Linked DNA regions of Xenopus tropicalis. The protein of the gene in region 2 purifies or fractionates together with the protein of the main gene of each other region. This does not show direct contact. Links are inferred from orthologs where the notes say so. Each region holds a gene or a part of one and is shown on either strand. Other genes may lie near its edges. The genes, in order: ctnnb1 and ahr.

Region 1 (3,825 bases), about 16 Mb from region 2:
AAGGTGGCCATACACAGGTAGATTCTAGCTGCCGATATCTGTCCCTTGGACCGATTCGGCAGCTTATCGGCCCGTGTATGGACACAAATGATGGGCCTGCCCGACTGACATCTGTCCTGGAATCGGGCAGATACTGATCGACAGGTTAACAAATTTAGTCAGATTGGCGACATCAGCTCGTTCATATGGCCCCTGAACAGACTATATACTGCAGTTCTAATTCGGTCGGAATTAGCCTGAAATCACCCAATATCGCCCGCCTGTAGGTGGGGATATCGGGAGAAGATCCGCTCGCTTGGGAGATACTGCCCCTGACATGAGCTCCTCCATAGATTGGGGAAGATTTAGTTTAACCTAAGTCAGGAACTGGTACCTGTAAGCAAAGAAACAATCATGGTTTCCATTTAAATTTGTAACATTTTGGGCTAGCCAAGCCAGTAGTGCGTTTAGTTTAAATATACTGCAAAATATTCTAGCAGTGTTACTGTTTAATAAGCCAAGCATGTCCTCTTTTAGACAATTTTTAAAAGGACAGAAATCCACAAGTTCAAGAAATAGGGCTTGGCTGAAAACCTGTCTCCTCTTGATTTAATCATGAGCAATGCAGTGCACCATTGCAAGGTAGATTCCCTGAGCAGATAAGTGTCCAATAGAATTGAGTGGATTATCTGTTTTGGTAATCTAAGAACCATACTGAGCAAATTTTGCCCATTTTACCAGTTAAATATTAAAGAAAAATTTGTTCAGCAAAAGCTCTGTTAATAAAACTCATGTTGAAAAGTGGCTAGAGTCCCTTTTACACAACAGCAAGATCAGGGGACCATATACTTCAGACTGCATACTCTTGAATTTTTAGTGTGTGCGAGACAAACCTTATTGTTTTATCAAACCAACACATTCAAACTCCCAAGGGGCACCGATTAGTTTTATGGATAGTTTAAAAGTGAAGAGACCAACTTCCATAAACCGAGAAATGCCAATTGACTAATTTCCCAGTCTATCCTTTAAAGATCCTGCTAAATTCTCCCTTTTCATTCCATTAAAACTGCCCTGAACTAAAGTCTTACCTGCACAAATAATGGAATGGTGTTAAGACCTCTGATTACAATTCGGTTGTGGACATCACGAGCCAAAATGTGAAGGGCACCTGTGCAGCCTTCAACTATCTCTTCCATACGGACACCCTCCTGAAAGTGGAAATCAGAACTTGTAGGCAACCTTAAGCACACATGTATCTAAGTATAGGCAAGCTTGAAAGAATTACATACCACAAATTGCTGTTGTGTTCCACCCATTGAAGTGCGCCTCTGTGTGTCCTGGTGTGCACGAACAAGCAATTGCACAAGTCGAGGAATAGCACCCTGCTCGCGCAGTGGGGCATGATTGGCTGGACAAAGAGCAAGGTTGCGGATCAGGCCAACTGTAGCCTAAAAAAATTTAAAAAAAAAATGAAATAAGACTGAGGTACAGTGTAAACACGAGTTATAAATCACTGTTATATACTTGGCATGGGAATCCTTGCTGACAGTTTAGCTTTGTGGGGTAGTTCAGCTACTAGACATTTTTAGTTTTCAGACAAACTAATTTCTGATGTACTATTTTGTCAAAAGAAGGCATGAGGGGGAAAAAAAAAAAAAATAAATAAAAAAAACTTTCTAGGGACCAAGTCACTGAAACATTTTACTTGTTTTCAACCACTAGCCTTTTTTTGGTCACTGTAATGGTTATACCAAAGCCTATATGAGATGTTAACAAATAGCCGTTTAACACTTTACCACCATGTTATTTTGTAGTAATTTAGGAGACTTTGATACAGCCTTACACATTCTATACAGGATGCCAACAAGAGGTTAAAGACTAAGCTCAGTGATCTAGATTCACAATACTGCAACTCGAGTTTCAAATTTTCATTCGATTTGGTAACCGTACGTGGTCAGTTTTTAAATTTAAATTACAAATCCATTACCCAAAGCCTAAGAGAATCAGTGTGGTCAGATGTCAGTTCTTGCCAAAACAATTGCCATGATTACAAATTACCAGTTATGTGTTTATGAAGGCAGCATAAGCAGCAAAACTTACTGTAGGCTAAGAATGACTTTGATAAAGACCATGAGCATCACTGGTCTAGTTTATGTAATACAAGAATCTGAGGTTGAAGTATTGATCATGAGCTGAAGTTTAATTTTCCCCGTCAGACCATTAATAAAAACCAGACTGAACTCTGGAGTGAGCCATAGGGCACCCTATGTATAACCTACTTACCTTTATCAAAGGCCAGTGTGAAGGAGGGTGCAAGAGCTTCACCACCACTGGAAGCCCATAATGAAGACGTACTGCATTTTGAGCCATCTCTGCTTCCTGATGCCTACTGGTAAGGTGACGAAGTGCACAAATTGCAGGTTCAGTGATGTCTTCTCTATCCCCAGCACGTAGAACTGTGCGAACAAGGGCTTCAATGCCTCCAACTTGACAAACCATCATTTTGTTTTTGTAGTTGTTGCATGTAAGGTTGGACAGTATACCAGCTGCACAAGTTACTACATTAATGTCATCTGATCCAAGAAGCTGAACCAGGGTTCCAAGAAGACCTTCCATTCCCTCCTAAAATCAATACAGATATTTAGTAAAGTCACACTAAACAGTTAAACACTAGTGGCCTAAAGAAAAACATTAATAACCTGTTTAGTTGCGGCATCTGAAAGGTTTCTTAGAGTCCAAAGACAATTTTGAACAAGACGTTGGCTTGAGTCTGTAAGATGGAGTCCTAAAGCTTGCATTCCACCTAGATGGCAAACAGAAGACAGTCAATTAAGCTCAATCAGTACAAAGTTTTTCTGAAACTATACAGGGCTGCAGATTGTTAAGTCTGCACTGATGGAAGCTCGTGAGTTGTAGACTTAATTTTTCTAAGTTTCCACCCTTGATTTTGCCAACAGCATGGCATAGATTAAAGGATGCAATTCAGATGGTTTGAATAACAGTGAAAGGTAAGCTTACCAGCTTCAACTATAGCAGGCTTGTTGCTAGAGCACACAGATAACACTTTAAGCACCCGACTTGTGGTCCACAGAAGTTTCTCGTAACTGTAAGTCCTCATTATGTTTACCAAAGCTTGCGGTCCACCACTTGCAAGAATAATCAACTAAAAGCACAAAATATCCTATGAAGTTCATATACAAGCTGCATAACAAGCATTTATACAAAATTTTCCTTCATGCACTAAAGTGACTGGAGGGCAAAATACAGTGCATTTTTAAAACTGAAGGCATTTAAAACTGGCTAGTCTTATTTCTACACTGTTGACACTGAGAGCAAACCTTGCCATGACACATTGATATATTATATTTTGCTGTATTTTGGCAGATTTCCACAAGTGTCTTGTTTACAATGTTTCAAAGCATTATCTTTTACATTGGGGTAAGGCACAATGGTGACAAATCTTCCCCAATGCCTTCCCACTGGCAAAATTAATTGCTGGTGGAAACATACACTGCTTCTTTTACCAAGGAAGTGTCACAGATTTGGTCTACGCTTAGTCCTAAATTGGCTAAATACATACTACCAAATCTCAAAGTCAGTTGTGTATAGCACTAGAGATTAACTTCAATATCTGTAGATCAGTTTTAATCCATGAAAAACTCTACAAACCTTGCTTTCTTGATTTCCATAGGCCAATATTTGAAGACAGTCTGTTGTGATTGCCAAAAACTTGACATTTGTTTTATTGAGAAGGGCAACCATTTTCTGCAAGCCACCAGCTAGGCGTACAGCCATCTTTGCTCCTTCTTGGTGAAGAAGAAGATTGTGCAGTGTTGTGATGGCATA
Region 2 (4,271 bases):
TATCCTTAAATTCATTGTTTAAAGTCCACGAAGTAGTTCTTTATTAAATATGAAATGTTTTGGAATTATTTTGGAACACAAAATGTTCTTAAAACGTTTAAAAAAAAATATTTGTATTAGTATTGAAGAATAGCAGATAAAATAGCTTCAAAAAAAAAAAAATCCATTAAAAAAAAAATATTTATTTGCAAATGCATTTGGAGGCACTTTAGTCCACTGTGAACAGAACTATTATTAGATTTGGCCCAGTCACATCACTGAAGGAGTAAAAGATGGGTCTCCAAGAGCTAGAACTTACAAGAACACACAGAGTACATCCCATGCCACAAAGCAGGGAGCCAGGAGGATCATTTTAAGACCCTCTCTGGCAACAGGATTTGTAAAGCTCAGTATTAATCTAGTTAGCCAATCCAGTTACACATAGTACATATTACGCTAATGATTCCAGTACACATATACAAAAAAGGTAAATAAATAAAGCCATGGTAGGGCTCTGAACAATTTTAAAAGTGTCAAAGGAGTATTTAATTTTGATGGCAAACCCTTTTTATATGAACACATTCCCAAACATATCATTGCTGCCACTGATCCCTCAGACAAAAAAATAAAATTAGAAACATCAAAAATATATCATTACAATCAATTTATTGACTAGAGTCATAATTGAAATGGGACACTTTACCCTTTAAACCCATCTGGGATACTGTGTGTCATTTTTAGAAGTACAGAAATAATATTCTATTGCTACTTTTTTCAAGCATACCTTTTTACACCAATCAGCTTAAGGTCTCTCAAAACACTTTATCAAAGTTTAGCAACAATCAATATTTGAATATTGTCCTTTGCTAAACAATTTTGGAAAATGCATATTTGGCCAACCAGGCACTAATTTCTTTCAGAACAGACCAGTTGTTTTGTGCAATGGTTACATAACAGCTGAGTTTTTTTGACCATCTGAATCGCCAATACTTAAAAATGCATAACATACAGCATCTGAAGAAACACTGCTGAGATCTATACTTCAACAAATGCTATAACTGGGGCCAAAGTTACTACATAGACACCTAAAATCAGGAAGGTACAACAATCATCCTTCCAATACAGCAGCCCCCCCCCCCCCCCCCCGCCAAATGCCTTCAGCTGCCCAAGTGTAGCTCAAAAGCAGTTTTAGGGTCACATGTTGAGAATCCCCCTTTATACAGTCTTCCGACATAGATGGTCTTACCCAGTGTGCAATAGGGAATTGGATAAACCTATTATGTAGACAAAATGATCCCCCCCAAAAAACAGTCTGTGGATTAAATACCTTGCACAGACATTGACAGTGTATATACCAAGCATTACATTATATCTTATATTGTGATGCACTGATCTGTAATGTTTTGAACAGTTTAAATTATGGTGACCATTAATTCAATAAATTAAATAAATTTATACTGTTAAAACAAAAAAGTATTACAAAGCTATTTATAGTTGCACCATGCACCAGCTATCCAAGAGTTCCTTATTTTTTTTATGATTATCACTGTTTTACCAGAGTCTATGAAAAATATTTATGACCTGGACAGCAGTATGTCCACCACTTACGGGAAAAGGCTCTAAATATCACCATACAGAAATGAACCCACACTCATTACATAGTTATATATATATATATATATATATATATATATATATATATATATATATATATATATATATATATATATATATAGTACACTTTCCCTAATAAATACAATGGTAGTAATCACTAAGGCGCATCTTCCAAATAGGCAGAAAGACAGGGACCCCCACCCCCAAACAAACAATAAGCACAGTACTACATCATCTGGAAACCTGCAAGCTGGGCATGCTTGAAGCATATACAGAAAGTATCTCAAAAGGCCTTTCTACTTATATTTATGCCCCCATCCCCACAGCAAGCTCAACTGGAAGACTGTAAGATGGCATGCCTGACGTATACGCAGAATGAATCTAACAAGTCCTTTACAATTATAGCTTATATCCCTCTCTGCAGGGCAACATCAACTGGAAGACTGTAAGATGGCATGCCTGACGTATACGCAGAATGAATCTAACAAGTCCTTTACAACTGTACCTATATCCCTCTCTGCAGGGCAACATCAACTGGAAGACTGTTGGGCATTACCTGATGCACATACAGAACATTCCTAACAAATCATTTGCACTTGAACCTATGGCCCCTTCCCCAGGCCAACATCAGCTGGGCATTCCTGATGCATATACAGAACGTATCTAACCAACGTATCTAAATTCTTTCCACTCAATTCTATGGCCACTCCGCAGGGCAGCACAAGCTGGGCATTGCTGATCACATACAGAACACACTACTTCAAAATCATCTGCCCTTGAATCTATGGCCCCTGCCCCAGGCCAACATCAGTTGGGAATTGCTGATGCACATACAGAACGTATCTAACAAGTTCTTTCGACTGAAATCTATGGGCACTCCGCAGGGCAGCACAAGCTGGGCACTGCCGATGCACATACACAACACAGCAAACAAGTCATCTGCCGTTGAATCTATGGCCCCTTCCCCCGGCCAACCTCAGCTGGGTATGCCTGATGCACATACAGAACGTATCTAACAAGTTCTTTCCACTTGTCTGTATGCCCCTCTGCAGGACAAATGCCCTTGCTGCCCTATTGCTCGCAGTTGTTGAGCCAACACTGTCAGTGCCGTCGCTCTAAGGCTGCGATTTCTAGTTACCCCAAGAGATGGGACGCAATTTTTGCCCTCCCGCCCCGGCCCAGCACTTGGGTGCTTTCTTACGTTTTCTGGACGGGTTTTCTTCTTTTCCTGCTGGCGTACATGATGTTGGCGTTCATCCCGTCCACTTCTACGCCGCGGAGACACGCCAAGGAATCCAACTTCCAAATTCTAAATATTTAATGGCTTTCCTCCCTTTCACCCTCCCCCCTTGTGCCTGCCCGGCACCGTATCCGTAAATAGTTACAAAGTTCCGGTAAGAAGGCAAAAACGGGAGTTTCCGTGAATTCTACTTTTCCTCAAGTCACTTGAAGCGTATGCAAGCACACGCATGCGCAGAGCAGGGCCTGACGTTGCTTGACTGAGGCACGCCCACGTAGGGATGCGCATGCGCGTTAACTGGAGCGCGCCTAAGTGTGCGCGTATTGACAGATCTATTAGGTGGGACGGCGTTAAACAGCGCCCGTCACTTTCTTGATAAAGTGTATGCTAGATACAATTCAGTAAAATAGACGTACAGCAAGTCAGTATTTTAAAGAATTAAAAAATTATTAAATTGTATTTAAAAAAATAAAATAGTGAATCTGGGGATTGCTGTTGTAAAAAAATGCGTTCTTGCCGGAAGAGGTGTTTCAGGAAGAAAGGCGCGGAGAATAGTAACATCGAGTGCGAGTGTTTTGTCCCGCCTGTCTGCATTTCTGAGTGAAAAAAATTACAGTCCTAAACTGTTCATAGCTGAGGGCATTGTGCTGCTTTATGTGCCGGATACATTGGAGGAACTGTGGCGCCCTGGCTGTACTGCCTTATGCAAACACTTCTACTGCTGAACAGTTAGGGGCCTGTTTGTTATGCTGTGTACAACGAAATGTATCAAAAAACAGCTTAAAAGCTGTGTAAAATAATGGCAAGATTATCAAGGTGTGTTTTGTTTTACACCGTCTGAACGCCAGATTTGATGCCATTCTTTGCATTAAAAAAATTATACTGTATATTTCCCCAAGAGTATACTGCATTGAATACAAAATAGGGTCAGGAAAAATGCATGTAACGCACTCTGGAAGGGGGGACAGCATATATGTACTACAGCATTGCATCGGGGACAGTATATATGTACTACAGCATTGCATCGGGGACAGTATATATGTACTACAGCATTGCATCGGGGACAGCATATATATGTACTACAGCATTGCATCGGGGACAGCATATATGTACTACAGCATTGCATCGGGGACAGCATATATATGTACTACAGCATTGCATCGGGGACAGTATATATATGTACTACAGCATTGCATCGGGGACAGCATATATGTACTATAGCATTGCATCGGGGACAGCATATATGTACTATAGCATTGCATCGGGGACAGCATATATGTACTATAGCATTGCATCGGGGACAGTATATATGTACTACAGCATTGCATCGGGGACAGTATATATGTACTACAGCATTGCATCGGGGACAGCATATATATGTACTACAGCATTGCATCGGGGACAGTATATATATGTACTACAGCATTGCATCGGGGAC

Evidence for each region.
Region 1: the proteins of ahr (region 2) and ctnnb1 purify together in Homo sapiens (affinity purification with western blotting; 4 studies listed by BioGRID and IntAct, with this or other methods). This does not show direct contact. The link is inferred for Xenopus tropicalis from reciprocal best matches to the Homo sapiens genes AHR and CTNNB1.

The regions. Positions count from the first base shown.
Region 1 is NC_030682.2:53,371,145-53,374,969, reverse strand, and holds part of ctnnb1 (catenin beta-1), read right to left. Parts: coding exon 3,649-3,825; intron 3,143-3,648; coding exon 2,998-3,142; intron 2,783-2,997; coding exon 2,679-2,782; intron 2,602-2,678; coding exon 2,263-2,601; intron 1,428-2,262; coding exon 1,269-1,427; intron 1,188-1,268; coding exon 1,068-1,187; intron 1-1,067. UniProt on the Homo sapiens protein: Key downstream component of the canonical Wnt signaling pathway.
Region 2 is NC_030682.2:37,605,129-37,609,399, reverse strand, and holds the start of ahr (aryl hydrocarbon receptor), read right to left. Parts: upstream 3,115-4,271; 5' UTR 2,851-3,114; coding exon 2,795-2,850; intron 1-2,794. UniProt on the Homo sapiens protein: Ligand-activated transcription factor that enables cells to adapt to changing conditions by sensing compounds from the environment, diet, microbiome and cellular metabolism, and which plays important roles in development, immunity and cancer.